4 linked regions of the Drosophila melanogaster genome follow. The protein of the gene in region 3 interacts with the protein of the main gene of each other region in a pairwise test. Each region holds a gene or a part of one and is shown on either strand. Other genes may lie near its edges.

Region 1 (11,140 bases), on a different chromosome or scaffold from region 3:
AAACGAGAAAATCTATGCCTTTTTGGTACATTTTTAACATACGATTGTAATTATGAAGAGAGTAAATCAACAAATTCCTACCCAAAACCCCGAACCCATATCAGCTATGAACCTGCTCATATCACAAACCTAAGAGTTATCCGAATTAACGCAATTATTATACAAGTATCGTGTGTGGTATTGAAAATTACTTTGTAAGCTGCAATTAGTGGTTGTTGAACATTTAGCTTTAGCTTTGGAAACATTTCATATACAACATAAATATACATATGCATACCTATATTATAAAGAAGTAACTTGGAGAAAGCGCTTGGCTCAAATCAATATTCATTCATAGCTCAATTTTGTAATGTCAATCAGCGCATTAGACTAGCTAAGCAGAGAGTCAATTATTCGAGTATCAATGTTGGAGTTTCGATTCGAGAGTAACGCGAGTTGTTATAAATTCCGTTCAGAGATCTAACTTTACACAGAGTTTATGTAAATGACAAACCAACAAAGAAAGCTTTACAAATAAACCAAATACACGACCGAGATCAATTATGATAAATGGTTTCCTTGGGGTCAGTACAGAGGATGGGCCTGGCGGAGGTAGGACTTAACCAGGCACATCTTCAACGAAATACAAATTTTGACTTTTTCCATTTAAACTTACGAATACGGGATAGTGGGCCAGAGGCATGGCCATCATGGCAAAGGAGTGCAGAAAGTGGATGCGATTGGCCACATCAGCAAAGGCCTGCGAGTCCACCTGCTCCTTGGGATCGCTGACGTCCTTCAGGACGTACTTGCAGTAGGCGCCCATAAAGATGGCCGACGCGCCGACGATCCCGGCCAGCCGAATGAAGTGGTAATGGCAGCCGGCCAGTCGATAGAGTGATCCGTGTGAATGCGCGTAGCTGTGGGCGGCAGGGAGCACCGCCATACTCGTCTCCTGCACCGGCACCTTCTTGGGACGCAGACCCTGCAGGAAGACAGTTAAGAATTATAAATCCGGAACATTGTCTAGGAAAAGTCGATTAGTTACAAGCGTGCGGAGCAGGGCGGATGCGGACGAGGCTACCATCTTGCTGACAGGATTGCCCAGGGTCACGTATTCAATGGTGTCAGCGACTGACATTGTGTATTGTTTGCTCAAACTTTGTTTGGCGATGGAAAATCAGCTGCGGCGCTACTACAAATTTTGACGCAAAATGCCCTGGCCTTGCCGGACTGCCGTTGTATTCGATGTTGCCAATTGTTTGGATTCTAGAAATATGAATGCCTCGGGAACGAGAATTTCTTACCATTTGAAGTGAGAAGAAATGGTGATATAAGCAACAAAACAGAACATATATAGGTACTTTGGAGACTTTTATATCCCTGGTTAAACCTTTCAAATTCAAGCTTTCATTTATTTGCGAAAAACTAAACCAATATAGAGTTAGTTGATGATTATTTTTAATAATTCCGACAAAAGAACTACTTGCAATCCATAACTCAGAAGTCGCTCTTAGTAAAAAATCACAGCTGATAAATTCGCTTCACTTGACAACCCTACCGTTTGACCGGTGCGGATACACTGAAATATCAGTGCTGCTCAATTGGGAAAGCTAAATTTTTTCGCCGGCTGTGCGAATAAAAGCAAGGCAAGTGAGAGAACTGATTTAAACCCCTTATCGGCCGATTCGTGAGCAGGTCGGGGCGATAATAAGAATATAAGAATACATATACATAAGCTGAATAAGCAAAGCAACCACTGACAATTCGATCGCTTTTCAGTCGAATCAGCGCAGTTGAACAATGAAAACTGCAACTCATTGCGCATTTTTAATTATCGCGACTATAGTCGCAATAAGCGGAGCAAAAGGAGTAGAGGGGGAACGCCCCTACAGGCGGAGCTTCATCAATCCGTATCCACGCTACCAGTTCTTTGACGATGGTGTCGATCCCGGGGAGCCCCTGTTCCTGACGCCCCTGATCAACAATGCTTCGATGAGCAAGCAAGAGGTTCAAAAGCTGGCCCGCGTCGTAGGCTCCCAGTTCCATGGCGTTGAGAGCTACTCCGGCTATTTGACCGTGGACCCTGGCTTCAAATCCAACATGTTCTTCTGGTACTTCCCCGCCGAGCAGGAGCCGGAATATGCGCCAGTGGTCCTGTGGCTTCAGGGTGGACCAGGTGCCTCCTCGCTCTTCGGTTTGTTCACAGAGAATGGACCACTAGAGTTGGATGGTCATGGGAAGCTTCAGAAACGCAACTATACCTGGAGCAAGACACACAATCTCATCTACATTGACAATCCCGTGGGCACTGGCTTTAGTTTTACAGAGAACGATGCCGGCTATGCTACGAACGAGAAGGATGTGGGCCGCAATCTGCACGAGGCTGTGATGCAGCTGTACGAACTCTTCGAGTGGAGCAACTCCTCTGGTTTCTGGGTCACCGGCGAGTCCTATGCCGGAAAATACGTTCCCGCCCTGGCTTACCACATCCACAAGGTACAAAATGCCATAGAGACCCGCGTCTATGTGCCGCTCAAGGGCGTGGCCATCGGAAATGGTCTCTCGGATCCGCTGCATCAGCTGAAGTACGGTGACTATCTCTACCAGCTGGGCCTGATCGACGAGCACGGACTGCAGAGTTTCCACGATGCCGAGGCAAAGGGTGCTGAATGCATTAAGAGTCACGACATGGAGTGCGCCTTCGACGTATTTGATTCCCTAATCAACGGGGACCTTACCAATGGCTCACTGTTCAGCAACCTTACTGGATACAACTGGTACTACAACTACTTGAAGACGCATGATGATGATGGCGCCAACTTGGGCGAATTTCTGCAGGCGGGCGCCACTCGGCGGGCAATTCATGTGGGCAATAAGACATTCCATGATCTGGACAAGGAGAACAAGGTGGAACTTCACTTGAAGAAGGATATCATGGACTCGGTGGCCCCGTGGATAGCCGAACTGCTGGCCCACTATACTGTGTGCATCTACAGCGGGCAGCTAGACATTATTGTTGCCTATCCACTGACGCGCAATTATCTCAACCAACTAAAGTTCCCCGGCTCGGACAAGTACAAGGTGGCTCCCCGCGAAGTGTGGCGCGTTGGGAAGGAAGTGGCCGGCTATGTCAAGCACGCCGGACATCTTGTGGAGATCATGGTCCGCAATGCCGGGCACATGGCTCCTCACGATCAGCCCAAGTGGCTGTACATGATGATTGATCACCTTACTCATTACAAGCACTAGGAAATGCGTACTTAAACTATTCAGTACAATTTGGAGACCAAATTTAAGCCTTTGTTTTTAAAATTAATCATGAATAATTTGGTGTGAGTTTTGAATGCATAAATATGTTGATGAGAGCATTGGGTTGTTAATACTCAACTAAATTCATATAATTTGTTACAGAACTGTATATAACAACAAAGATTAAAACATCAAAAAGAAAATCAACAAAAATGTTGAGATGAAATTAATCCTAGGTTACTTCCCTTTAGTTATTCTATCCAATATAAGCTACAGTCAATTAACAAAGCTTTTAATTCAACTAGTCCAAAAAACGCAGTTAATAATTAACTATCCGTTGCTCCTTTAAAGTTCCTGGCCACCAGGAAGTGCTCGGCGGAGTCTCCGCGGCTAGCGCGCGGTTTTACTCTCTTCACTTTCTCATAAAACCTAAGCATATCTCGCTCCAGCTTGGGCACGTCGCCATTATCCCACACCTTGACCACCAGATGGGCCTGCGGAGCAGACATGGCCAGGGCAAAGCGCAGCACCTCGTAGCAGAGGTTAGTGATGCTCTCCTGGTCCAGCATCCTCACTCCGGTGGCATTGGGTGCCATATCGGACAGCACGCAGTTGACCTTTCTGTCTTGTAACGCTTCCCTCAGCCGCTTTTGTGCCAGCGAAGAAGTGAAATCCATGCCGCCAAAGATTGTGGCACCCGGCACAGCATGGAAATGCAACAGGTCGATGCTAAAGACGGCTCCCTGTGGCGCCCGCTCCTGCTTTCCGTTGGCATTGGTCCGCTCCACGGCCACCTGGGTCCAGCTGCCAGGAGCAGCTCCGCATTCCAAAACTGTGTCTCCGGGCCGCAGTATTCCGTATTTGTCGTCGATCTCCAGTAATTTGAAGGCACTCCGGCAGCGATAGTTCATCATGCGGGCCTTCTCCACGTACGGATCCGCCAGTTGGCGCGTAAGCCACTCCTGGGAGCTCTTGCTCCGTCCTTTGAGGTTCCGCGGCTGCTGTTTGGCATACTTTCCGCCTATTTCCGTGTGCAGCAGGCGTTTAAAAACACAATTACCCGTAAAAACAAGACGCATTGTGTAATATCGAAATTAGATCGCCTATCGATTTTTATCGACCAAAGTCAATACAAGTTCTGGGAAGTTTACACTGCAAGCGCAGAAACTCCAAAGCTCACATTATATTACCACGTATATGTTACAATTTTATCCATGTTGGAATAAAAAGATCTTTTCACATTTAAATTGATTTTATGGCAACAGCGATGGGTAACAATAAGATTTCCATTGCTGCCATCTCAAGCGTCAGTGTGAATGGGATATTATTTCGTTGCATATTTGGCTCGTTGCGTGCTCCCTGGTCACACTTCAAACCAGTACGGTCTTTTCCCAATTATCTGCCCACTGTCACTCTACTCCGCTCACTCGACGAACTCTCAACTCAACAATGGCGAACGTAATTGGAAAATATTGAACGCGAGTGCGAAGAAAATGTGAAATTTAGCACGGCCAGAGCTGCAACAGTGTTTGATGATTGAAAAGTTTTGAAAAAGAGGCGATAATATGCCACAAACAAGAAACGAAAACTGACTAAACGTGCAAACTGAATACGGATCGGAAATAGCAGTAACTAGTTCCCTCTCTCTTTCGCTCTCTTTTCTCTTCTAATACCCCCGCCCCGCGCCCTACCGGTTGCAAAAACAAAATGAGATTCTGCGTTGTTGTTTGTTGCGTGTTATTTTTGCTGGCCAGCGGGCTTATTGCATCAGCTACAGCAAAATCACAACAGGGCGACTCGGCAGAAGTCGTCAGCAGCGGCGAGGATGAGAAGACGGTAAGTGGGGGCGGCACTGGGCCGTATGACCCACTAAGGGCTAACACTGGACTACCAATGAATATTTCATCACCTTGCCCGATATGTTGTTCATAAGTTTCTCTCGCTCTTCCACAACCCGCAGGACTGCACGGACCTCGCCCGCGACGAGGAGGCGCTGATGGTGTTCTCCACACTGGGCGGCGGACTGACAGCCATCGATCCGGTGACCAGCGAAATACGCTGGACAATAGCAGATGGTAATTACGCGGGCACTCCGCTGTCCTCCACACTCACTGCACCCCTATTTTCCGGCCACAAGTGTGGGACTCGAAACATATGATGGGCAAAGAAGGGTCCTTATTATCAAAAGTGGGAATTTTCCAGCATATATCTCGGGAAATGGGTGTTTTTAGGTATCTAAATACTTTAAAGATAAAAAAACAATATGGTTTTGTTATTGAAAACATTCGAACTGGAAGCACTAAGATCTTTCATAAATGCAAAGTCAGGAAAATTTAATTGTTACCGAATGCCACATTAAGAATATTTTTGTTTTGTTTATTGTTTTGCTCATTGAAATGTGAGAATGTTTCTTTAGACCATTTAACAGCTAAATTTAAATCGTTTTATTTGCGTTTATTGTTGTTTTAAGCTAAATCTAGGAGTCTTTTTTTTTTAGGGAAATTGCCGCTTTATTTGCATAGTAGATTTAAAGATCTTAAGAGATCTAGCTATATATATATATTTATTCCCATGCTGTCACCACCCCTCCTGGAAAATTGCCACTTCACCAGGCTGTTGCACTCGCCGTTTGAAGTGCGAAATGCGTAGCACATGCATGCGCTCGATGAGCTCATCGCAGATTTCGTATCTGCCAGATGTAAGAGCCTAGGATAGATCTTTCCACCGCCTTTCGTGCTCTATTATTTTCACTCTCGCCATTAATGTTGTGTATTGTGCTGCGGGCCTGATAAGGTCCCGCGTCTAGCGCAATCTCGACAAGCGTTCTCGGCACACAATTCCACCAATTAAGTTGCCAGCCAGTGCGCCATATCACCAGTTGCTGTTCCCCCATACCCTTTCCGCAGTGGGTGGTTGGGACTTTGAGCCATTTTCCATTCGGTTCATTGAATATTCCCATAATTTCTCAGCGTGACGTATTGATTTTCGGTGGCTCTCAAGTGCGTTAATCTTGTGGTCATTTGGCTGCTTCGTATTAACCTCTGAGATTAGCTGGCATATATAAATGAGTCACCAGGAGAAAGATGTTAGTAAATTGCGCGATTAAAGGGGTTAATGTGCATAGCTTTCGTTTGAATTGGTGCACTTGTTGGCTACCATTAGTATTATTATGTTTGTTTAATGTGTATAGCATTCAATAGATCACTAAAATGGGGCTTCACTTATCTAATTAAAAAGTGAGGGCATTTTCAATTCGAATTATCGAATATTGCTTATAAACCTGGTGCTATTTTTATTTTCACTGGCTTTGTTGATTGATTTTCCACTTCAGAGCATTCATATTCGCCTGATAAGTAATGCCTCAAGAACTTCCTTTAATTACTCCCCAACTAAGTATTGGAGTTATGCCAAATGACTCTCTGTGGACAATACGCCCTCCACATGTTTGTTTAATTTCTGAAATAAAAAACCCACGCCCCGTGAAGATTATTTTATGTGATAGCTGCAATACACATGTATGTCCATTCGTATTATTAGAAATTTCATGCTGCCCGCTTGTCGCCGGGCTTCGTGGAACTGCAAATGATTGAAAATTCAGGGAGACAAACATGTGGACAGCATCTGACTAGCGGTTTCATGGCAGAGCGCACTATTTGGGCAGTATTTTTCCGAGTCATTCAAGCCAATAATATGTTTTTGATTCGCGGTAATTACACTGTTTCGCCGGCTCTAGCACAGCAGATCGGTGTACCGATTTGTTAGGTTCTATTACCTCATCACGAGACGGAATCAGGTTTTGTCTACGACTACCGCTAGGCAATTAGAATGCTCATGCTAATGAAAGTGCTGCGGCGAGTTAAATGACCTGCCCCAGAAATTGCGGCAACATTCGGTTAATGCCGGGAATGTTTTTGGGGTTGCAACTAATTATTGATAAGAATGGACAGTACATCGAATTGTTTGGTTTCATTACTCGATATTGGTTGACGACCATCTTTCCTGGCAATACTTGAGTTTTGTTTAAACCATTTCGTCAATATCGTGCATGCGATGATGGTCTCCATTTGCATTCGACAAAGTCAGAATTTAACGCTGTTGCCTCGCGCGAATTGTTGGCGATAACAGAAAGAAATTGCCAACACGACTGGCGTAAACACTTTGGATTTGATCAGCCAGCCATGGGTCCCCCAGGTCTATTTCGTATTTACCCAACTGCTGTTTGCTTTGGCTTTGTCTGCCGCGCCAAAAAGCCGCTTAATTTATTCGGGCCTTTTGGTGGAAAGTGTTCACGTTCTTTAATGTGCACCAGAAAATGTGCTCTCCGCTTGGGATGGGGTTAATGTATAGATTACATTTTCGTTCCCATCGGTATAAGTATGTACATACATCAGGAGATAAGCGTTATCGAGAACAGGTTCTGGTTATAATTTATTATATTTCCCTTACTTTACTCCACGTTAGTTGCACCGATATCAGGAACTTTTTATTGGAATTTGTTTACTGTGCACACTTAAAATAATTTACTGCAAAAGGGGTTCATCACTCTAAATTGAAAAGATAATAATAATAAGTATACTTGCTAACTAAAGCTGAGTATTGAATAATAATCTGGAATTCAGAAATTTCTGCTTAAACTAAAATTTTTAATTGATAACAGTGGGATTTTTTAAAATTCGTCAAAAATAGACATGAAATGTTCATTACTAGTTAATACTGGGTAATAAAAGGAAATAAAAAGAAGCAAAATAAAACTAAAAATATTGTTATTGCCGGCTAGTCAAATGTGTTTTTGGCGCGGAGTATATATATATTAGGTTATCTTGTCGTAACAAAACAACTTGTAATGAATTCGATGCAGTATGCGATTTGAAAGTTTAACACCACTCGGAATACATTTTGTGTGATTTTGCATATATTGTGCTTTTACATGGATGCAAAGGAATCGGACTTTATCACGATTTCGAATTTGCAATCATGTTTATTACTTTGTTTTTCTTTTATGATTTTACTTTTAAGCTATAATTGTATTTCTTTTAGATCCTCCTATAGTAGCAGAACATCAGGAGAATGTTCAGGTTCCGCACTTTCTGCCCGATCCTCGAGATGGCAGCATTTACCAGCTGGGTCAGATGGGCAGTCTTAAGAAGTTACCGTACACCATTCCCCAACTGGTGGCCAATGCTCCCTGTCGTTCCTCCGATGGAATCCTGTACTCAGGGAAAAAGAGCGACACCTGGTATATGGTGGATCCTAAGACGGGCAGACGCGAAAAGGTTATGGGCTTTGGCGATGCCACAGTGGATGGTAAGGAGGGCGAGCAGATCGGCTGGGCCACTTCGCGGGCCATCTATCTAGGCCGGACTCAGTACACGGTCATGATGTACGACAGCCTGGCTAAGAACAAGGATGCTAAGCCATGGAATATCACATTTTACGACTACAATGCTGTGAGTGCTCCTCCTGAGCTGGCCAAGGAATATGGTAAGTGCATCTCATAATATAAGAGTGTACACATTTGCTTATGATCTCCCGCACGCAGAGTATATACATCTGACCACCACCACCAATGGACAAATTGTGACTCTGGATCGAAAACACGGTAAATTTCTGTGGCAGCGCGATCTGAGCAGCCCAGTGGTGGCTGCATTCCTTTTGGGACCAGACGGGCTACTCAGTGTGCCATTCACCACGGTCTCTGATGAGGCTTACCAGGCCATCCTCGAGGAGTCGAAAACAGGAAATGTGAACACCGTGAAGCTATTGTAAGGGACATACGATATTCGTCCTGAATTCCATATTAATTGTAATATTTTCAACAGCCAATCCCTTTATGTGGGCGAACATCAAAAGGGCTTGTATGCCCTGCCTTCGCTGGTGGACAAGAACACGCCTCGTATTTCCACAGCACCACCTATAAAACTCCTGGATGGACCTACAGGAGACCAGAACAGCAACCAAGAGACAGATCCGCGCACCATTTACATTAACGATGTGCTGCAAGAGCATGCAGGAATTATGTTGGGACACTACAACATGCCCAATGAGGGTAATGGTAACCTGCAGCTGTCACCGACGACAGCCAGCAGCAAGGTGGTTCAAAGTCTGGCCACCATTCACAACTATAACGATGGCTACGGCCTGTTGGCCAATAATGAAAAGAACGCCGCCGACATTGGCGTGCAAACGGATCCCGAGCTGGTCGAAATTGGCATTGATCAGCGGACGAATGGGAACACCATTAATCGGACGAAGACAATAATACTGCAGAACAGCAATAAGGTGCAGGCCTTTATCAACGAGTGGTTTATGGAGCATCCTAGCGGAAAGGTGCATCAGATTCTAATTGTTATCGTTCTGGGTATGATTGCCTTGTTCTGGTACACCTGCAGCACAATGAGGGAGCTGCAAAAGCAGAGCGAGAATGGTTCAAAAACCTTTGCCATAGCCCAAAATGGATCCAATGGAAGCACTGGCAGCAATGGTAGCAATGCGAACGCTGAAGACCTAGTGGACTTGGGTAATGGACAAGTGCGTGTGGGCAAGATCAGCTTCAGCACAAATGAAGTGCTGGGAAAGGGCTGCGAGGGTACTTTTGTCTTTAAGGGCACATTCGAGGAACGTTTCGTAGCCGTAAAACGGCTGCTGCCCGAATGCTTCACCTTTGCTGATCGCGAGGTGGCCCTATTGCGAGAATCGGACGCGCACGAAAATGTGGTGCGCTACTTCTGCACCGAACAGGATCGCCAGTTCCGCTACATAGCCGTCGAGCTGTGCGCGGCCACTCTGCAGGACTACACCGAAGGAGATCGCTCGCTGGAACTTCAAAATCACATCGATGTTTGGCAAGTGTTGAGCCAGGCTGCATCTGGACTTAGTCATCTTCACTCTCTCGACATTGTGCATCGCGACATTAAGCCGCAAAATGTTCTTATTTCTCTGCCAGACGCCAAGGGCAAAGTACGTGTCATGATCTCCGATTTTGGGCTGTGCAAGAAGCTGAATTTTGGCAAGACTAGTTTCTCACGCCGATCGGGTGTAACAGGCACCGATGGATGGATAGCCCCAGAAATGATGAGATCACAGCGAACGGTACGACATGATTTTTATTATTACCCTACACTACTTCTTCACCATCACAAGAACTTTCTAAAATCGATGTCTTTCAATTATTTACAGACAACTGCTGTGGATATATTTTCCTTGGGCTGCGTTTATTATTATGTTTTAAGTGGCGGTCACCACGCCTTTGGTGACAATCTGAAGCGACAGGCCAACATACTCTCCCACGAATACAATCTGGCCAAGCTGCGCCCAGAGGACGACAGTGAGGACAGCCGAATTGTAGGTTATCTTCACCAAAAAGTTATAGCTAGTTGTTCTAATTACTTCATTTTATTTTAAAGATCCTTGCTGAGCAATTAATATCGGATATGATACACAAGGATCCGCAATCGCGACCTCCAGCTCGTTGTATCGGAAATCATCCGCTCTTTTGGGATGAGCCTAAAATGCTCTCGTTCCTCCAGGATGTCAGCGATCGTGTGGAGAAGTTGCAATTCCATGCTGAACCGCTCAAGTCGCTGGAGAAGAACGGGCGGATAGTCGTTTTAGACGATTGGAATGTCCATCTGGACCCCATGATCACGGATGATTTGAGGAAGTACCGCGGATATATGGGCGCCAGTGTACGAGATTTGCTCCGTGCTCTGCGCAACAAAAAGCATCATTATCACGAGCTAACGCCAGCCGCCCAGAAGATGCTGGGCTGCATTCCGCACGAATTCACCAACTACTGGGTGGATCGCTTCCCGCAGCTCATTTCACACGCCTACCACGCGTTCAGTATTTGCTCAAATGAGCCGATATTCAAGCCTTACTACAGTGCCGGCTATCTTTTTACACGTCCGTG
Region 2 (6,377 bases), on a different chromosome or scaffold from region 3:
GGCGGGCGGCCAAAACACCTGTGTCAATGCCGGCAGATCGGGCGTTGCGCTGCTTAATTCTTGTAATTAATTTTGCGTGCCACAGACAGAGACAGAAGCAGACTCGCACACAGAGATAAACACACAGACGGCGGAATGGTGGAATAGGGACAATGGAGGATGTCCTGATGCACGGCATTAACTGAGCATGCAAACGATGCGTCAACGATGGTACTCGGCCCAGGCAGCTAACGCTATTATTTACACAACAAACACTTGTAATTACACAAAGGGCGGCGGCGGTGGCAGGAGGGTCCTGCAGGAGCAGGACGGAGCCGCAATTAAAAGCGAAAGGATAAACACAAATAAATGAGCGACACAAAAGGGGCAGACACGGCAAAGACAACTCGGCTGTAGCTGACTTGGCCCACTGCCACTGCCAGTACTGGCTTCCACTACTGTTCGGGCCAAGACAAAGGCAACACTCTGGGCCCAAAGACAACAATGACAAGCGGACGGCATTAAATAATTGCTCATACACGAGTGTTACGCACAAAAGCATTTAGAATGGCACTGGCCGAGGCACAGGAAGTGAAACAGGACGAGCCGAGCAAAAAACTGTCCAGCACGTGTTGCAGCTCGTCTCGGAAAACCCAACCATGTAATCCCAGCCAAGCCCATTCCAAACCATCCCAATCCGATGCGATTCCAAGCGCCTGCCGCCACCTTTTCGGCTTCGGTGTGTGAAAACTAGTTAACAGCTTTTATTTACTTGGCAAACAGACTGAAACGTTGTAAAACAACAAATGCTTAAGCCGCAGGATATAAGCATAACAGCACTCACCAGCACACACGTCCTTCCACTGCGGAAAAAAAAGAAGGGATTATTATGATGAATTGCATGCACGTCAAGATTTGTGCTTAAGAAAATATTGAGCTAAGATGCAATCTTGAGGATTTACACTTTGAAATGGGTATTCCTAATTATGTTATGTTATATATATCATGTAGACAGATGGTTAGACCAAGTAAGGCACCATTCCAGTTTGTTCCAGTTTGTTTTCTTCAATAATTTTTTGAATCTTCCCTAATAGTTTCTTGCCGTGTATGCCACTCGGGGCACGAACACGACCAGCTTGGTCAAAAAGTCCACGTTGTCCGCTGTGGTCAGCGGCATGGAGAATGGAGACGACGCTGATGGAGGCGAGCGTGCAACTGACTGCGGCGCTCGGACATCTCATAACCAAAGTGAAAAGTTGGAAAACAATAACGGGCAGCGATGCGGGGCACACATGTCCTGCCTGAGCAATCGCCTCCAAAGCAGTGTCCTTCGGCCAGGATGGCCACAACCAGTGCCGGCAGCCAGGGAAGAGGCTACACAGCGTGACAAAGTTTATGGACCACAATGGAGCTGCAGCTCACTTAGTATTCTCCGCTCGGATATAAGCTCGGTAAGGACATTCAACGTGGCACAACGACCAGGACTACTACCACACACATAAATTATATGCCTTTATTTGGGCAAAACAGTGTAAAACGCAAATGCAACCTGATGACAACAACAGGCTGCGTTATGCAGCAACAACAGAACCAGAAGAAGCCGGACCCAAAGACGTGGCAACAATGAGACTTTTCGGCAAACAAACGAGGCAAACTAAGAGCGCTTTTCAACTAATGACGACGAGCAGTAACAAAAACGTTTTCAAACTGGGCGGCGGCAACAAGTTGAGCCGTTTAGATTTAGAGCTTGTAAAGTGTGTGCGGAAAATTCAATAACCAAGTGATAACAACCTCAAGAACAGATCCAAGTTAACCCGCTGGAAGACCAGGAAAATCCACACAACCACTCGAGCTGAAGGATATCGGCAGGGTAAATGCACAAATGCATATGCATACATAGATGTATGTGTATGCGTATGTAGGCAGGCCGGAGAGATGACAACAAAAGCCAGCTTAATGGCAATAATAACAGATTTTAGCCAACCACAAAGAAAACGTCAACAGAGGCATACTTTTTGGCCACCATGCTGGCAGCAGCAGCAGCAGCAGTTCGGTTAATGGCAGGAAGTTCACTTCACAGCCAGGACGACACATCCTTGCAGCAGTCACTTTGAATGAAAATTCATTAAGTGAAAATGCCTAAGCCAGCAGATGAAACAGAAAGGAGCAGCAGTCCATCCTCTTAATAGCCGAAAAAAAAGACCGCATCGTTGGACAAGCAACCACATCCATCAGCCGGCCGATTGGCTCAATTTGCATGCAATTAAAAATAAATTGAGGCACCTTGTTCTGCGGCTAAACTAAATAGTGGCACCGCATTCGGTGGAGCCCACTTCCAATTTTCAGTACCAAACTGGTGCGGGGGTGGGGGGGAACGCGACCACCGCAGTATGGGGCCAAAAAAATTGATTTCAACTTCGGTTGCCGCCGCGTATTTATAGGCTGAATTGTCATTTTCTCCTCTTTTCTGGTTGCTGCATTTTTTTTATTATTTACTTCAACCCAATCCTGAATGCTAACAAAGAGTTCTCGAAAGGAGAGCGTAAAACAAACAAATCACGGACCGATATGCACACATAAAAATTCATAAATATTCTATTTTGAGTTGACATTTTGACAAGTGAATATGAATATTGCAGTCGCAGCGCACAAATTTATAATTGATATGTATAAATAATGGACAAAGCCATTTTGTAAATGGGTTTAATGAAATGAACGAGTGTAGCTCTTGTAATAGCTCGCCAATTACAAACAAAGCAAAACAAACAATAGTCGAAAAAGAAGAGTGGACTTTCTGGTGCCCTGGGCGCAAATATTTTTCAAAACATTTAATTTATTGTATTTGAAAAGTTGTAACGATTTTTCAAAAATATCCTCCTAAAATGGCAAGCAATTTACTTTCATTTTTTTAAGCAATAGACTTTAATAAACGTTTGATGAAAAAAAAAAATCATCAAGTTCACCCATTTAATATACCCCTTAAATCTCAATTTACAGGTGCCATCGCTTAAATAAAATATACTTAATATTTCACATTTGGCGTTAAAAGCAAAAGTACCCAAAAGCCAGTTAGCTGCAATTACAATTAAATTAAATTGGTTTATGGTAAGCAACTTTAATTATGTTCGATAGCAAAACAAACCAAGTCAAATTTGCTTTACACTTCGGATCGCATGGCACAAAATAACACCGAAAATCATGATTTAGGGTGAAAAAAATTTAAATTTAAATCGAAAGTTGTTTTCCCAGCCCTTAAAGCCCAGATGGACAGCGCCGATGAGCAGCTGCAGCTGGATCTGGACAGGATATCGATGGAGAGTCGCCAGGCCAGCAGTTTCGATGACCTCATCGAGCTGACCAACAACTCGGAGCGTCTGATGGCCAGAGTCAATTCCAGCTTGGATGACCTAAACACCGCCCTCGACAACCTGGAGGCTCGAACGGACCGGGTTCTGGTCGAGATTCGGAGGCTAATCAGCTCGGAAATGCCGGCACAAGGTCCGCACGATGGATGTGGCGATCCAGATGCCAGGGCGTAGGCGGGCGAATGGCTGTGATACGTAATGTGATAATAAATAAATGTATTTTATTTTCATATCGAAATCAATTGATGCTCAACTGCTCATAGGAATTGAAAAGTGATTGGTCGTAGCTCTTCTTCGGTTTCGAATCGAATGGGGATCGAAAACTTCGCGGGGGCATTGAGGCCATAGAGGCAGAAGATCCATAAAACGCCCGACAGTTTGTTTGTTTTTTATGAGAACTGTAACCCTAGCACACAAATAATTAGTGAGCTATTTTTATGGATCTTCGGATGCGGGGCTGCGCATGCGCAATGCGCATTGAGCAGAAGTATCAAGGTGCTGGGGGTCTTCATCCACAATCTTAATTAGAATTTACATACATTTTCAATATGCGTGTGTGTGTGTGTGTGTGTGTGTTTTGTATTTGTGCACATGTTGCACTGCATTTGAAGATCTCGTCGTGCACTTAATCACTTGAGCCGTCGGCACCATATGGGGTCCTTTCTTTTACTTCTTGTTGTCTGTGCCCCGCGGCATCTGGTGCATGGTATATGTAGTAGACTGAGCGGTATAACCTGTTAATCAGATATGCAGATTGACCCAAAAATTATGCCACAAAGCAGCTGCTGGGCGACAGCGTTTAATTGACAATTAATAAAACTTTTAATTTGAGCCCAATTGGCACATTGCACATTATGGTAATGGTAATGGTAGTGGGGTAGCATGGTAGTTGGTCAATTGGATAATGCCCACAGATCCCAGCCATTTGCACTGGTAATTCTTCATTAATCGGCTACGCAATCATTTACGTAAAGCGCAGAGCCACCAAACCTAATTGCAAGTTATGAATATCTCATCGGATATTAAATCGATGGCCATCGCTTAACTCCGACCAGCAACGACCACGATGACGATGGAAATAATAATGAGGATGACTGCGATGAATGGATTGAATGGCCTGAATGGTATCGTTCGACGACCATCCATCCGTCCGTTTATCCGTCCATTTGTCCGCTTGTCCGTCCGTTTGTCCGCTTGTCCGTACGGAAGTGGCGACACTTAATTGCGAATTGAGTGCATTTTCAATTTTTATTGAACCGGCGCCCAGTCGAGCATTATGCTGCGGTGTGGTATCATTAAATACTCGGTTGCTTTGCTGCTGCTGCGAAGTATGCTACGAAAATGCAAATTACCGAGACCGCCCAGAGTGGGCGTGGCAGTTACTGCCATGTGCTCATTAGCGGTATCTACCAGACGATAACCAGCGTAGTAATCGATGGAATAACTTGTCTTCTTTATCAGTTGGAGCACATGCAAAAATATACTCAACCCATCATCGATGAAGTCAGTCTACAGAAGTCATCCCGCTATTTCGGTCGTTAAAAAAATAAATGAAATGGGAGCTGTAACCTTCTTAACAATTATTTTGGTGACCTTGCTGGGTCATCGATCCAGTGCCCTGGAGTTCGAAGAGTGTGCCAGTGCTCCACAATTGGGAGTTTATGTCGCCAGCTCTAGCAATTGCTCCAAATACATATATTGTGCCGGTCCAGGATCCTTTGAGGCCGAGTGCTTGGATGGTCATTACTACGACGAAAAATTGGAACGCTGTTTGGATCGAAAGTTGGTGTCGAGATGCCGGGATCCCGTAGGCATAACCACTAAATCCCCCTCGATGGTCAAGAAGCCAGCTCAGAAAGCGGAACCATTGGCGATTACCCTGCGACTTTTACCCAATGCCGGACCATGTTATCCTTATATGGTCTGCTACGAGGGGGCTGGACTGGCCAAGGCCTGTACTCCTGCTCATCTAGTGTCCTGCAATCGCATGCAAACGCGAGAGAATATCATCAACTGCCAGGAGGGAGTCTATGGCTTTATGCCACATCCACGGAACTGCGCCTACTTCTACTACTGCTCCAGTGGCTCCAAGCTGGTCCATCGATGCCACTTGAACTACACTTGGCACTACGAACGGAGGTCCTGCGTCCAGCAGTCCGAGAGGATGTGCTACTCCGAACAACTTCGGCTTATACGAAATAAAATAGGAAAGGCCAACCGGACGTAATTCTAATGTTAGGATATAGATTTAATTTAAGTTAAAGATTCGTATAAATAGCTAAACATGTACACCTAGCGTAAGCAACAGTTGAATAAAGAACTGCAATTGGGAAACAAACAGGAGTAAATGCTTCTGGGTGGGGATGTGCCTTCTCCTGTGCCCTACTTCCAGTAAAACAGGTGGGAGCTGCGCACATCGAAGTGGTAGAAGCGAAGCAGCATGTAATCCTGCCACTTGGTGGGCAACAGTCTAAAGCAAGGCGACAACAATAATCGTTAGAAATAATCGCTGGTTACCTGGGCTAATTCAATTCTCACCTGAGCAGCCATACACTGAGTGCGAATATTTTTGGCACATACACCATGCGCTCGTTCAGCAACACGCCCTTGACAATCTTCTCGGCCACATATGGTGTGGGCAGTCCGGGATAGCTCTTGGCAATGCTAAATGTAGTAGCCGCATGAGACCAAGTGATCTGCCCAAACTATAAACCAATCTTACCCCGCATCACTGAGCAGTGGAAGATCTCCGCTGGTCCTCATCAGATAGGCATTGGCCACCGTGGTGCGAACGTAGTCACAGTCGGACAATCGCAGCTCAGCTCGCAGCGATTCCATGAAGCCCTCGATTCCGTATTTGGTGGCCGTGTAGATGCCCGCTCCTGGCAGTGGAACTAGACCTAAATGCGAGTTATATATACATAGGTATCAATGAAGTGGTAAGCACTTTAACCAAGTAAGCTTACCCGCTAAGGCATTTACTGCCACCAGATGACCGGACTTGCGGTTTATCATCTTCGGCAGGAACTCCTT
Region 3 (7,465 bases):
TCGACGGAAAGTCCGAAAATCCAATGTTATTTCATAGTTATGTTTAAACACAGAACAATAGTAATTGTTCCCTAGCTTTAACTTTCCGTTAAACGCCCCCCAACTAATTTCCATATTTGTAGTACGAAAACATTCCAATAACGATTATGCAATGTATGTATATGTAGAAAATAAATGAGATTATTGTTCCAAATGTGAGCCAGCCGGGTGACTCCTTAAAGCGACTGCTTCTTCTCATCCTGGTCATCCGCGCAGATCGCCTTGTAGAGCTGCTGCAATTTGATGTGGGGCGCCTCCACGGGCAAGATCACCTTGCCATTCTCATCCGTATACTTGCTGTAGGGTTGCTCCGAGAAGACCTCAAAGCCATGGGAACGAAAGATCTTCTGCGAGAAGATGCCGGTGGCATCGGCCTTCAGCAGGCGAAAGCCATTCTTTTTGGCCACCGCCACGGACCGCTTGACCAGCTCATTCGCAATCCCCTGGCCACGGTAGCACGAGTCCACCGATAGGATGCGCACATCGAACATGCAGTCCACGTCGAAGTGCTCGAAGAGATTGTGCTTGAGATTGTGCCTGTGCAGCAAGTCGAAAATCTTGCGGAAATCTGCATCGTCGTTGCAGTCCAGCTTGCTCAGCGCCTTGGCCGTGTCGCCCGGCTTCAGGATGCCATTGAGGACGACGCCGACTATTTTCAAGGTATCCTTCTCCTTTGCGTCCACAGCCATCACGCTCATCCGGTGCTGTATGGCCTCGGCACAGTGCGCCTCCAGGGCGGGGCAACTGCTGCCGTTCTGGCACAAGCCGGCGGCCTTGTTTAGCGGCTCGTCGGCAAAGAAGTTGCGCCGCAGATGCTCCATCACCTGTTCACTGTGCTCCGGTGCAATCATCTTGTACTCCATGGTGTCACAGCCGCTGCAATCGCCGAATTGTCTGCGGATGGTAAAGAAGATCTATGGGAGGAGCTTATTAATAATATTATTACTAATAGATCTCGATGATTTAAAATATAAACTAAATTCGAATGGTAAGTACGCATTACATTACAACCGTACATTTAAGCACTATTAATTTTTTTAATTTTAATTTTCGTTTGCAAAAGTCTAGGTACATACATGTGGGTACTCTTTTCCTATAACTCAATTAGTCGCAACTCTCTGCCTGTCCTTTCAACTCTCGACCTCTTGCCTCTCGCTCGCTCCCACTGCACTTTCACTATTCTTTGTGTTGCCCCAATGACACACCCCCAACGAATGCCACCCCCCCTGCGAGAATAGCCCACCTAATCCCAGGCACCGCGACCAAAGCGGTGTCATCCGTGGCCAACCGATTTCGGTGCTGGATTTTGTTAGTTAGTTCCACTTACTCAGTTCGTCTGTGGCCAATGGGATCGGGATCGGATGAGCTGGACGGCGGGCAGAGGTGCGCTGTTTGTTTTGCTCGACGAAAAAATGTGTAACCTACTTGCGGGCGCTTTCAGATGCGAAATGCGACTGGAGCAGCTGGAGCAGCCGACCAAGCGAAGCGCCAGCGACAGCATCCCGTTAATACACATCGAGAAAATACTCAGACCAAGTTAGACTTCTAACTGCAAACCAATGAAAATTGAAATTACTTCGCATTCCACGTAAGTGTAGCTCTAAAAACCTTTGGGTTTCAATAGTATTTCACACGTTATTTGTAGGTCAAACCACTCCAATTGACTTCAAATTTTCGCTGCGTGTACGCCCTCGTGTTTGCCTCATTGCCGAAGCATGAGAAAAATGCTATCCTCTGGGATGGGTTGAAATTAAAGTATGGACAGGGAGCGGGGAGCTCGTATCCTTCGAGTGACAGCCATGCGTATACGCAACATACGCACACTGGAGCAATGGGAGCGATTGCCGCCTGCTCGTGACTTGTGTGCCGAAGTACAGTGAAATCGAGAGTTTCCACCGCCCCAAATGCGCCACGAAAAATACGTGTGGTATACGCACCAACTGTTGATTCCGCCGCACAATGTGAGCCGCACTCATATACAGATTTTGACTCTCGACCAGGACGAGAACGTGACATTACCACCATTAAGTAAGTGAGGGGGCAACCCGTGTTATCCTTTGATTATATGGCACAATATGAGAGGCGGAATGAATAGTTGTTGTCGCTTACGACTCAAAAATAGGGTGTTGAATATGTTCTAAATTGATATATGTTATAACTATTATGTATATGTGTATGTACATGGTATGAAGACGAATTTCCTAGGTAGTCAGCATGACCTTGCCTCATCGTGAAGTCTAGACAGACACCAACTGTTGCTTGACCAAAAATGGCCACCCACTTTGACCTTTCTCGCCGCGTAACTAACTCCCTGCTATGCATATTCATTACGTTCATTAATTATCAGCCCAGTTTGCTATGACCAATTGTGGCGAACACGTGGCCTGGACTGCACTGAAAAGAAATCTTTCTATCTTTTAAGTCGAAACCAATCCGATGCATAAAATAGTCGAATTACTTGGTAATAGTTTCTGAATCTTCAATAATTTCTCGCTCTGCACAAAAGTGCTGAAAAGACGACAATTGGACCCGTATTCAAATTGCGTGTCTCTGCTCCGGATGATGGACGAGACGGTATGTAGCCATGACCGGAGACTGAGATCCGTGGACGTCCAAATTGATGGAGTACAAAAAGGTATAGGCATAGGCAGTGGTGACGCAGTGCGTTTAGCTGCGTGTGGCTATTGCTTTTTGTTGTCCATCATTGATGGCAATCAGATTCAATTGAATTCAATCTGCCCTAACGGTCAATATCGAGTGACTATCGAAGGGAAGGCATCACTAACTGACCTTGAAACGGGGAATCCCAGTGGCTCTACCACGCCATCCCGGATGCTTAAGGATCTGTGGTGCCAACCTCTTGAAACTCATACTATTGATGATGGTGCCGATTTGGGTTTTTGAGTGGGATAGTTAATTTCATAGCGTACGAATTTGATTCAAAAAAGTTTACTAAGTGCCAAACAATGACAATGACATGTTGAGAATTCACCCAGCCATGCCATCGGCATAATTTTGGAACTATTACCTTTCATTGTTATGAATCTGTTATGAATACGAATAATTAATTTATTTAATGGCATAAATAATTGTTACTGCTGACAGTTTTCCATTGGTTCACTAGCATTCAGTTTAGAGTGTTTGCGCTCAACCCCATCGGATACCTTTGTCTACTCTTTGTCTAATTTATTTGTGATATATTTAATTATAATTTATTATATTTTAGTATCTCAAGTGCGCATACCAAGTTTCATATCTCGAACCTCAAGAATCGCCGAGTTACAGGTGTTTGCGGTGGGGACATACCATACTCATCATCGTTCGCCGTGGGCGACAGCTGTTCCGGAACAGCTGATGGGCACGAATCGAATCCCGAGCCCCCCCAAAATCCCTCCTACCACAACCAATCGGATCGGATCCGATCCGATGCGATGCGATGCCTACCCAAGATCGCCGTTCTCTCGCCAGATCCGCTCGATGAGTCTTCATTCGCTGGCCCAGTTTGTCGTCGTGCTGTTCTGTCCGCTGTAGCCCCACTTTGTCGTCTATTTTATTTTCGTTGTGTCGCGTATATTTAGTAAATATTTTGTTGTTGTTATTTATAGTTTAGACTTGGTTGGCGTGGTGCGTGTTGTACTCTTGTTTTTTTTAATAATTTTTTTGGGTAGCATATATTGTTTGATTTCCGATGGCAGCCAAAGACCGCCTGCCCATCTTCCCGTCGCGCGGGTGAGTAGTTAATCCTGGCTAAACTCCCACAACCCAATAACCCTATACACCATGTTGTAGGGCCCAAACGCTGATGAAGTCGCGTTTGGCGGGCGCCACCAAGGGACATGGTCTGCTAAAGAAAAAGGCGGATGCCCTGCAGATGCGCTTTCGTCTGATTCTGGGCAAGATCATTGAGGTGAGAGCGTGCTAACTATATGCGGCGTAGATCCTATCATACCCATTCATTCCAGACCAAAACCCTGATGGGTCAGGTGATGAAGGAGGCTGCCTTCTCCTTGGCCGAGGTCAAGTTTACGACCGGCGACATCAATCAGATTGTGCTGCAGAACGTGACCAAGGCCCAGATCAAGATCCGCACCAAGAAGGACAACGTGGCCGGGGTAACGTTGCCCATCTTCGAACCCTACACGGATGGCGTGGACACCTATGAGTTGGCCGGCCTGGCACGTGGTGGCCAGCAGCTGGCCAAGCTGAAGAAGAACTACCAGAGCGCCGTGCGCCTGCTTGTCCAACTGGCCTCCTTGCAGACCTCCTTTGTTACCCTCGACGATGTCATCAAGGTCACCAACCGGCGAGTCAACGCCATCGAGCACGGTGAGTCACACTAAATCGCTTGAAACGATACACCTCTGATATGAATGCTTCTCCTATCCAGTGATCATCCCCCGCATCAACCGCACCATAGAGTATATCATCAGCGAGCTGGACGAATTGGAGCGCGAGGAGTTCTACCGACTGAAGAAGATTCAGGACAAGAAACGCGAGGCTCGCAAGGCATCCGATAAATTGCGAGCGGAGCAGCGTCTTCTGGGTCAAATGGCCGAAGCGCAGGAGGTGCAGAATATCCTCGACGAGGACGGCGACGAGGATCTGCTCTTCTAGACACACGAACAGCACCCACATGTGTAACCAGCCCCCATCCAGTACTCCACCTGACCTGAGCCCAATTATCACTCAACTTTGCTACCTCACTTCCCACCAAAAGATCACCTCTCGTTATTGTTGTCGTTCGTTGTGATCCCCGGATGTTGTACCACTTGTCGTTTTCTTGGAAATACAATCCGTAATCGTAACCTTTGTAAACGCCATGTTTTGTGGTTTCTATCGCCAGCCAACTGTTGTGTTTGTGAAATCTGTAGTCAAGTATTCAGTAAAGGTGACAAGTATTCAAAAGGTAGGCAATTAGAGTGGTCATCAGAACCAAAAGTAGGGTATCCCACAATCTTCGTGTGTTGAATACTATCCCACACACTATCTGACCCGTATTATTCATACGGGTCATACGGTATTCATTCATTCATCAAATATTCATTTGATGATCCATCAAATCATCGGATTAAGCTGCTTATGGGATGAAATTGCCAATTTAGCCATGCCAATTGGGGGATTCACGAGCGGCACGTGCCTATCCAAAAAAAAAAAATTAGGCAAACCTAATGGATCCCGAGCCCGAGTCCGATCCCAAATCCAGATGAAGAACGTAGACGATAGCCGAGTGCAGTTTAGATGTATGCATATAAAATCATGTTTATTCATTTTCCATCTAGCCTTATACACGTAATAGTTTGACATTGACGACCACTGGGGTTCTGGTTCTTAGGTTCCTCTCTTTTTAAATTCGGCTTGAATTCTTAGTTTCGAAATAGCGTGAAGCGAGTAGGAAACCAAAACTAAATGAAAACAAACACGATTCCACACACAAGATATTCCATTTAAAATGCATTGTAAGCTTAAAGCTAGGGTGATGAATATTCGACATTCGCACTGATCGCAGATCAGATGATGTGACATCGTGATTCCTTCAATCCGTTTGTTTCTGTTTGTTCCTCGTTACCATTCCATGTGCTTTGTACTCTCGTTATATGTGGTATACATACATATCTATGTACATATGTATATACTCGTATTATATGTACGAACTACTCTCCGACATTTTTCTGCTGCTTGCATCCGTGTAAATAACAGGTATGTAAATATGTATGCTTTATCTATGCTCTTGTAAATACCGTTACATCTATGTATGTATATTGAGCTTATTTAGAAAAAAAAAGATTAACAGTTACATTCATCAGCGCACTTCTTACACATGTGCAAAAAAAACTGTGGCCCAACTGCTGTTGGTAAATATACAAAAATATAGGATATATGTATGTATGCGTGTGTGTGTGTCGTGTATCGATCGATATCCGACTTATCGAACTCGCTTCTTGCAAAGAGAGCATACTTCGCGGCATTTTAGTTTTAGTTTAAGAACAGTTGCGCCTGCGGATGGGCGTGAATATTGTGTTTCGGTGTGTGTTGTTCTGAGTGTTGCTGGTGTGAGCGGTAAAGAGAGCGAGATGCACTAGGCTTTCGGCATTTGTATTTGATGGCTCTTTGAAATCGCTTTGGCTTTCGCCTTTGACTTTGTCATCGTCGCGATGGTTGCAATGGATGCTATTGTTGTTTTGGCTGCCGTTGTTGTTGTTGATGTTGTGGTAATTGTTGTTGCTACCGCTGCAAGCGTCGACGTCGGCGGCATTTGCGACGTCATGAATATTTGCTGCGTCTTTTGCGAGCCCGGCATCACACATTTGTCCTGCGAACGAAAGGCGAGAAAGAAGAAAAAGAAAACGAAAACGAGAAGAGTCCGCCAAGAGAGCCGCATTTTGAGTGGGAAACAAGGAGGAGAGAATAGCCGAAAAGATATTTATTGCATTTATGTGTCTCCGATTATGGACCCCATTAGTTAAATATCGATTGTGGCAAAGTTTTTGTTGCACAACAAAGCGCAGCTAGCAAAATTCAAGGCAGTTGCAGTGAACGTGATCGATTGTAGCTGGCAGTGTGACCAGCTCAGGAACGGAAAGTGTAAGCTAATCAAAGTGGTAAAGAAAATGTAAATACAAGTAAACCCAAATCTTAAAACTTAATAACGGAATCCGATGAACAGCAAGTTCAACAGTTGATTAAAGGTGAGTTCCTTTAAACAATGTCACTTTTCAATTATGTTATGTAATAAGTTCTAATGGCTCACAAAGCCTGGCCACACTGCGCAGTTACCGCAAGTTTGTGTTAATTCACTTAAATATTTCAATCTAATATTTAAATATGAATAGTAGAAGTAAAAGAACATGCCGCTGAAGTTTTGCTGAAAAATTCATCGAGTAAGAACCGTGTGCGAGTGTTTTTGAATGTATTTGCGTGTCCAGAACAGAAGGTGACGCTATTGGAAATTTATTGTCATCAAAAATATTTTGTAAAACTTGTAGGGAAATTTGAATTTTCGTAGGATTAGCCGATTTCGAAAGGATAGGAGATTTCTAGATTTTGGAAAGGGTTTGGATATGGCTTACACAAATAAAGGTATGTATGTATTTACATAAGTACAGTGGAGCAAGAACCGAAGGCAAGCGAAAATAACTATTTAAATTAAATGTCTATTGGTTTAATTTGAATTACAAAACAATGAGCTTACTTTCTGTTCAAAATGATCTTGGGTATAAGAACTGCGATATTTTGTTGGGGTATTTTACATATGTGCTGTTTCCAGCTGGCTTGCTTGGTGGGTCGATGGGAGATGCAGGAATAGTCGGGTTCTGGGTTATCTTTGGGATCATTTCCGGTCCGATTGTGTGGGTGCTGGCTACTGTGGTGGTGGGCTACATGGCGTTGGCTACTTCTACGGCTATTTGGCTACGGCTATGGCTACATC
Region 4 (6,705 bases), about 13 Mb from region 3:
CGTAGAAGACGACATCCTGGCGCCGGGCAGCGAACATGCGGGTGAGTGCCTTACGGAAGTTGCTTATCTCCTCCCAGGCATCTTCGTCTAGTTGCGTGCAGCAGGGTACATGCTGCAGGGTCGTCAGAATGCAGTGACCGCTCTGGAGGCCCATGTACCACGGCAAACTGAGATAGATCTTATCGCCCAGGGAAACGAGCAGCTGTTTGTCCAACTTGGCGGAGTCAAAACACCGCTCGCAGTTGTCCAGCGTGGCCACCAGTTTCTCGTGCTCCCTAATGGCGCTCTGCATCTCCCGCTTTTCAGCATCGCTGGCTGAGATCTGTTTGCGCACCTTATCAGCGAATATGTCATCCAAGTCATCGTTGGGATTCTTGTGCTTGGACACAATGTCGGCATACTGGAGATTGACTTCTGCGGCTGTGGCGTGTTTTTCCCGCTCGAACTGGAGGTTAAAATATGTTACTATTTAGTATTTGCTTTTGAAAGTTGAACTTACCATTTGCTTAATATCGTAGCGGTCATCATCGGCAAAGTATCTTACACGCTGACCATCCACGTGGGTGTCCACTTTCTTGCTGCCGCGTTTTGGTCCCATCCTGCCACCGTACGATTCGTTCGGATCGCCGGACTGCACCAGCGGACGCACGTTGCCGCTCTGGTCCACCTTGGTGAGCAGCACGTGCTCTGCTGAGGCCTTGGACTTGGCTGGCCTGGTATTTGCATTCCGCACTGACTCGCCGGAGGCAATGAACTCTGCTCGCTCCTTCCGTGCGGCCTCCAATTGCTGATTGAGTTCCGCCGCCAGTTCTTTCTTTCCTTTGAGCTCTGCCTTGATGGCCTTGCCGGCCAGCTCATTGATCTGTTCGTCTGTGAGGCAGGATGGTCTGGACTTGGGCTGCTGCACCGCCTCCTCCTCCTCCTCATCAGATGATGTGGCACTTTTGGAGCGGGATCTGCTTCTTCTGGGCGGACTGGGAGCCTTTGCGCCTGGTTTTCGCCAACCGCGTGAGGATCCCTGTGCGGAGCTGCTGGAATGCGGCTTGGCCTGCCGTTCATCGTCGTCCTGTGGCTTCTGGAAACCGGGCAGACCCGTGCCATTGCTCTTCCAGTAGGGATTGAGCTCACGGCCACTCTTGGCCGGATCGTAGGCATCAATTTGTTGGGCCTTCTCGTTGGGCTTCGCTGGCTCCTTGCGTTCCCTGGAGAACGTCTTCAGAAGGAGAGACTCGCTGGTCATCCAGTCGTCCCGCTGAGGGGGCTCCTTCTTAGTGACATTGTCCGCCGCGAGAGGCGGAGGAGCCTCCACCCACTCGTCCTCGCTGGCGCTTTCCTTACGGCTCCTCTTGGACTTCTTCTTGCGTCGCTTGCGCTCCTTTTCATCCTCACTGAACGAGGAGGAAGATGAAGTGGAACTTTCGCTGCTACTGCTGCTGTTGCGGTGCTTCCTGCTCTTCTTCGATGACTTGGACTTGGACCTGGACTTGTGCTTGGAAACATTCTTCTTTGACTTTTTGGCGGGCTTCTCCAGTTTCTTGGCCAACGCGGGCAGCATCCAGTCGGCTTCGCCGCGCAGCTCCTTCTGCCTCTCCCGCTGCCCACGCAGTTCCGCCCGCTCCTTGGCCTGCTGCAGCATCGCCTCCCGGGCCTCCCGGAGCTCCTGGCGCGCCTTATCCTTTTCTCTGCCGCTTTCAAATTGTATGTAGCTCATGTCTAATTTGGTTCTTCTTGTTTACCAAAACATTAGTGTTAGAGATGGACAAATATGCACAACAGTGATATCGCTTAAGTCACTACTGAATAACAGACATATCGCTTAACTCACTATTGAAAAGTTGATTGCAATATACAACAAGAGAGAATGATATAGTCAAATTCCCCGTTACTCGGCTAGTGTGAATGCGAAAGCGAAATTTAATAAATTTAATTTAATTTTAATTTTAGAATCTGTATGGTGAATCTCAACCTTCTAGCTTTTATAATTCCTGAAATTTTGGCGCTCATACGGACATGAAAAGATCGACTCGGCTATTGATCCTAATCAAGAATATATATACTTCATATGGTCGGAAACGTTTCCATCTTCCTGTTACATACACTTCAACAATTCTAGTATAGCCTTTAACTTTACAACGGGTATAAAAAAGTATCAAAAAATTCCAAAGGAGTGTTTTTTATTTATAAAGTTAATTCTCAACAAGACTTGAAGTCATATTAAAATCTAAAGTTTAAAGGCGCTTTTTATATATAATTAATGACCTGCCTGTTCTTAGTCCTCATCCGAGGAAGTTTCATTCTTGATCTTGTCGGACTTGCGCTTTTGCAACTCCTGCTCCACGTCGGGGTCCTTGACCAGGTGCTCTAACTTGATGTCGGACAAGTTGGGACAGTCGCGCACCGGGCATAGGATGCCAATGTTGTCCTTGATGATCATTAAAACCGTTTCGCGGTCGTAGATATGACCGCACCTTTTGTTGCGCACGGGGTGCTTTATCAGGAGCTTGGACCAGGGATCGTGGAACGGGACGACCTCGACGCCGAAGTCTTCCATGATAAGGTCCTCATCAAGGCCGGCGATATTCTTTTGAGCTTCTGATTCCACCGCATTCATGTAGTTCGTGTCCTCAAGTGAGTTATTGACATCGATGCGCATCTGCTCCACAGCTTCGGGGCGCTCCTTGCAGACTTCCTCGGACTTCTCGATGGTGTTGCTAGAGTTTTTGGTTAGCAACTTCTCCCCGTCATCGCTGGAATTGGACACGACTGTGGGTGGGTGTGTTTTAAAGATGTTAAAGATGTCTCGGTTTGTCACATGGCTCACCTTCTGCCATTTCCCTGAAGAGCTTTTGGTGGGATTTCGGGTCCATTTTGATCATAAATTTTATTCAGACGCTTTTCAAATTGCAAATCCAGAATATTTAGATCGAAATGTCAAGACTGACGCTTCGGTTAAGCTAGGACCGATAATTTCGACAGGCAGCCTATCGAGGGTGTAATCGTTCTTTTGAGAACCGTTAATAATCGTGATGTGCGTCAAGTTAGCGTAGGTGAGTTAGCGTCGGTCAGTTAGTGCAGATGGCGGATCGGTAGAATTTTGAACATGGGGAAGTTTTTTATTTATTTTATTTTGTTGGGTTGTGGGCATTAGAGTGGGCGTGGCAATATGGGCATGCGCTGCGTCTATGTCTCTAGAATCTGTATGGTTAATCTCAACCTTCTAGCTTTTATAGTTCCTCAGATTTCGGCGTTCATACGGACATGATCAGATCGACTCGGCTATTGTTCCTGATCAAGAATATATATACTTTATATGGTCGGAAACGCTTTCTTCTGCCAGTTACATACTTTTTAACAAATCTACTATACCCTTTCACGAGTAACGGGTATAAAACTGAATATATTTGATAATATTATACTGAAGCTACCAATTTCCGATGCTGTAAATTGCATAATTTATTATGAAATAAAAACACTAATACTTATTATGTCAGCGGAACATAATAAGAATATTTGAGTCTAGAGGTTTTATCTCCAAGGGCATGACAACGCCATGGCAACCCTTTTTGCTTGTGTCAAGAACTCAAAAAAGAAGGCGATGACTTTGCAGTCTACAAGTCACATTTATAATTTGGCGTGAGGACCTCAGTTGATTCACATATCCGAGCGGATAATACTTAACTATTTGCAAAGCACAGCATTTTTAAGATGACCATTTCAAGAAAATGCTTTACGCATACAAGTTGATAGGTTTTCTAAACGAAACAATGAAGTCCTACGATTCTTCATAGAGCTCACCGATTTCATTATTCCGTTCACCGCTCCCGATAGATTCTTCGTTATTTGTAGAGATTTCCAGCGCAAGTCGCCAACAGCTGGCCCATTGACCAAGGCACCCATGCCGGAAGCTTTTTCCGGCAAAAAACCAAAAACAATGAGGAAGCAGCCATGCTGAAGGACCCCATGGCTTGCGGGGATTCAGAGCCGAAGCTTAGCAATGGTAAATCAGTCTGGATCTCCTCTGAAGATAGTAGCGATCCGGATAATGACAAGGTGCCATTGGTGCCATATGAGTCTGATGTGGATCGTCTGCGGCAAAGACTCGCTAGAATGTTTCGGCGATGATTTCGATGGCAATCGTGCTATATATTCATTTGTTTCTACATTTGTACCAATTTTCTAAATAAATCGCAAACTATATACATACGTGCATACTGCACTTCTAATATATTTTCTCTAAATTTTTTCGGGACTATTTTTAAAACATGTTTATTCGTTGTACCTTAAATTTTCATCAAATGGTTGTCTTACAAGAACGTGATATCTTACGCTGCGTTATTAGTCGACAAGAAGGAAGTTGCGCATAATTAATGATCTGCCTGTTCATCGTCCTCCTCCGAGGAAGTTTCTTTCTCGATCGCGTCAGACATGCGCTCTTGCAACTTCTGCTGTAGGTTGGAGTCCTTGACCAGGTGCGCTGGATGGATGTAGGACCTGTTGGGACAGCCGAGCACTGGGCATCGAATACCAATGTTGTCCGTGATGATCAGCATCACCGAGTCGCGGTCGTAGATGTGGCCGCACTTTTTGTTGCGCACGGGGTTCTTTATCAAGGCTTTGGACCAGGGATCGTAGAGCGAGAAGACCTCGCCGCCGGTGGCTTCCATGATAAGGTCCTCGTCATGGGCGGCGCTATTCGCTTGACCATTTGTTTCCGCACCCGCCTGGGGAGCTGCCGCTTTCATGAAGTTTTTGAACTCGGCTGAGTTCTTGACATCGATGCGCTTCTGCTCCACCGCTTCGGAGCGCTCCTTCCAGACTTCCTCGAACTTCTCGATGGTGTTGCTAGAGTTTTTGGCATGCTTCATAGCCTTGCTGAGCAATTGGTGCTTGCTCTTCATTCGGATGAGATTCTCGGCGAGATCCACGTTCTGGTCCAACAACTTCTGGATCTCCCTGCCATCACTGAAATCGGACACGACTGTGGGTAGGTTTTAAAGATGTCTCAGTGTGTCGCATGGCTTACCTTCTGCCATTTCTTTGAAGAACTTTTGGTTTTCCAATAAAGTGGTAAGTGCCGAATCCACATGGTAATTGAAGTCCATTTTAAAGCCCAGATTCTATGCAGACGCTTTGCAAATTGCAAATCCAGAATATTTGGATCCAAATGTTCAAGACTGACGCTTAGCTAGGTTCAGCTAGGACCGATAAGTTCGATAGGCAGCCTAACGAGGGTGTAATCGGTATTTGGCGAACTGTTAATAATCGTGGTGTATAAGCATGGATTTTATGCCTGAAATTTAAGTAAAATAAATGTGCGTCAAATTAGCGACTCTAAAATAAAATGTAAAATGAGTTAACTTAGAGTGACCATATCCCCAACATACGGTCTTATCCACCCGCGAGCTATCGCGGTTATCGGTGTTATCGGCCAATGTCAACCTGGATAACGAGCGGCGGCCAACTTTTCAGTGTGCCAAACGCCGAGCAGACGGACGAGCAGCGCCAGCGCGACCGCCACTGCCACCAGTTGCTGCGGACCAATCCAAGTCACAACCAATCCGCTCCGATCCGATCCCAGCCAACGAGTGCCAGCTGTGCGCCCCAGCTGCAGCTACACGTGTCCCCAGGGTGAAAGCGCTATCCAAGATGCGGACGCACGGACTACGGTTGGTGCTCTTGGCCCTGCTGCCCACGATGGCCCTGGGCCTGCTAGAGGGCCTGTACTGTGGCAAGGAAAACTGTTACGACGTGCTGGGCGTCACCAGAGAGTCGTCCAAGTCGGAGATCGGCAAAGCATACCGCCAGCTGGCGAGGCGCTATCATCCAGATCTGCATCGGGGTGCCGAGGCCAAGGCGGCGGCGGAGACGCAGTTTAAGCTGGTGGCCACCGCCTACGAGATCCTGCGCGATGAGGAGTCGCGCACGGACTACGATTACATGCTGGACAACCCGGATGCATACTATGCGCATTACTATCGCTACTACCGGCGACGCGTGGCGCCCAAGGTGGATGTGCGCGTGGTTATCGTGGTCGTCCTAACCATTGTGTCCGTCATCCAGTACTATTCCGGCTGGCAGCGCTACGATTCTGCCATCAAGTACTTTGCCACGGTGCCCAAGTATAGGAACCAGGCCCTGGAAATAGCTCGCGACGAGATCCAGGAAAAGATCCAGAAGAAGGGCAAGAATCGTATGTCCAAGAACGATCAGCGCGATGAGCTGGAACGGATCATCCGGCGGGTGATCGAGGAGAAGATGGACGTTAAGGGCGGCTATGCGAAGCCGACACTCTGGGATGTGCTGTGGGTGCAGCTGATCATCTGCCCCTACACGATACTCTCGTTCATCGTGTGGCACGCTCAGTGGTTCTGGCGCTACACGGTAATGAAGCAGCCGTATGGCCGCGAGCAGAAGCTCTACCTCATCCGCCGGCACCTGGGCATGGGCCAGCATCAGTTCGAGGCGCAGGAGGACAAGCTGATCGAGGAGTACCTGCATCTGAAGCTGTGGAAGCGCGAGAACTTCGTCGCCTGGAAGGCAGAACAGGAAGAGGAGATGAAAAAGAAGCTGGCGGAGAATCCACGATACAAGGCGTACAGGCGATACATGAAGAACCACGGACCCGGCCGCATCACCTTTGAGGATTAGCCGCTGCTCTGCGATGTTCAAGTTTCATTGTTCCATCTAAAAGTCTGTTGTGTGCGT

The links.
Region 1: the proteins of Vha36-3 (region 3) and Ire1 interact in a two-hybrid assay, tested with the Drosophila melanogaster proteins (one large-scale study listed by BioGRID).
Region 2: the proteins of Vha36-3 (region 3) and CG13838 interact in a two-hybrid assay, tested with the Drosophila melanogaster proteins (one large-scale study listed by BioGRID).
Region 4: the proteins of Vha36-3 (region 3) and CG42299 interact in a two-hybrid assay, tested with the Drosophila melanogaster proteins (one large-scale study listed by BioGRID).

The regions. Positions count from the first base shown.
Region 1 is NT_033777.3:19,854,813-19,865,952, reverse strand, and holds the start of Ire1 (Inositol-requiring enzyme-1), read left to right. Parts: upstream 1-4,661; 5' UTR 4,662-4,938; coding exon 4,939-5,067; intron 5,068-5,191; coding exon 5,192-5,306; intron 5,307-8,268; coding exon 8,269-8,712; intron 8,713-8,770; coding exon 8,771-8,993; intron 8,994-9,050; coding exon 9,051-10,320; intron 10,321-10,407; coding exon 10,408-10,572; intron 10,573-10,634; coding exon 10,635-11,140. Other genes in the region: CG4686 (uncharacterized protein), read right to left, coding at 656-964, 1,028-1,120; CG4572 (uncharacterized protein), read left to right, coding at 1,783-3,231; Mrm2 (mitochondrial rRNA methyltransferase 2), read right to left, coding at 3,558-4,310.
Region 2 is NT_033777.3:23,039,091-23,045,467, forward strand, and holds CG13838 (uncharacterized protein), read left to right. Parts: upstream 1-3,150; 5' UTR 3,151-3,242; coding exon 3,243-3,518; 3' UTR 3,519-3,579; downstream 3,580-6,377. Other genes in the region: CG13837 (uncharacterized protein), read left to right, coding at 4,900-5,571; CG17121 (uncharacterized protein), read right to left, coding at 5,727-5,814, 5,883-6,008, 6,067-6,244, 6,311-6,377.
Region 3 is NC_004354.4:2,576,477-2,583,941, reverse strand, and holds Vha36-3 (vacuolar H[+] ATPase 36kD subunit 3), read left to right. Parts: upstream 1-3,381; 5' UTR 3,382-3,727; coding exon 3,728-3,768; intron 3,769-3,828; coding exon 3,829-3,946; intron 3,947-4,001; coding exon 4,002-4,365; intron 4,366-4,426; coding exon 4,427-4,653; 3' UTR 4,654-4,851; downstream 4,852-7,465. Other genes in the region: AANATL7 (arylalkylamine N-acetyltransferase-like 7), read right to left, coding at 216-902. UniProt on the Drosophila melanogaster protein: Subunit of the V1 complex of vacuolar(H+)-ATPase (V-ATPase), a multisubunit enzyme composed of a peripheral complex (V1) that hydrolyzes ATP and a membrane integral complex (V0) that translocates protons.
Region 4 is NC_004354.4:15,572,788-15,579,492, forward strand, and holds CG42299 (uncharacterized protein), read right to left. Parts: upstream 2,897-6,705; 5' UTR 2,877-2,896; coding exon 2,822-2,876; intron 2,764-2,821; coding exon 2,270-2,763; 3' UTR 2,160-2,269; downstream 1-2,159. Other genes in the region: CG9213 (uncharacterized protein), read right to left, coding at 1-445, 500-1,711; cerv (cervantes), read right to left, coding at 4,365-4,978, 5,024-5,102; CG7872 (uncharacterized protein), read left to right, coding at 5,647-6,648.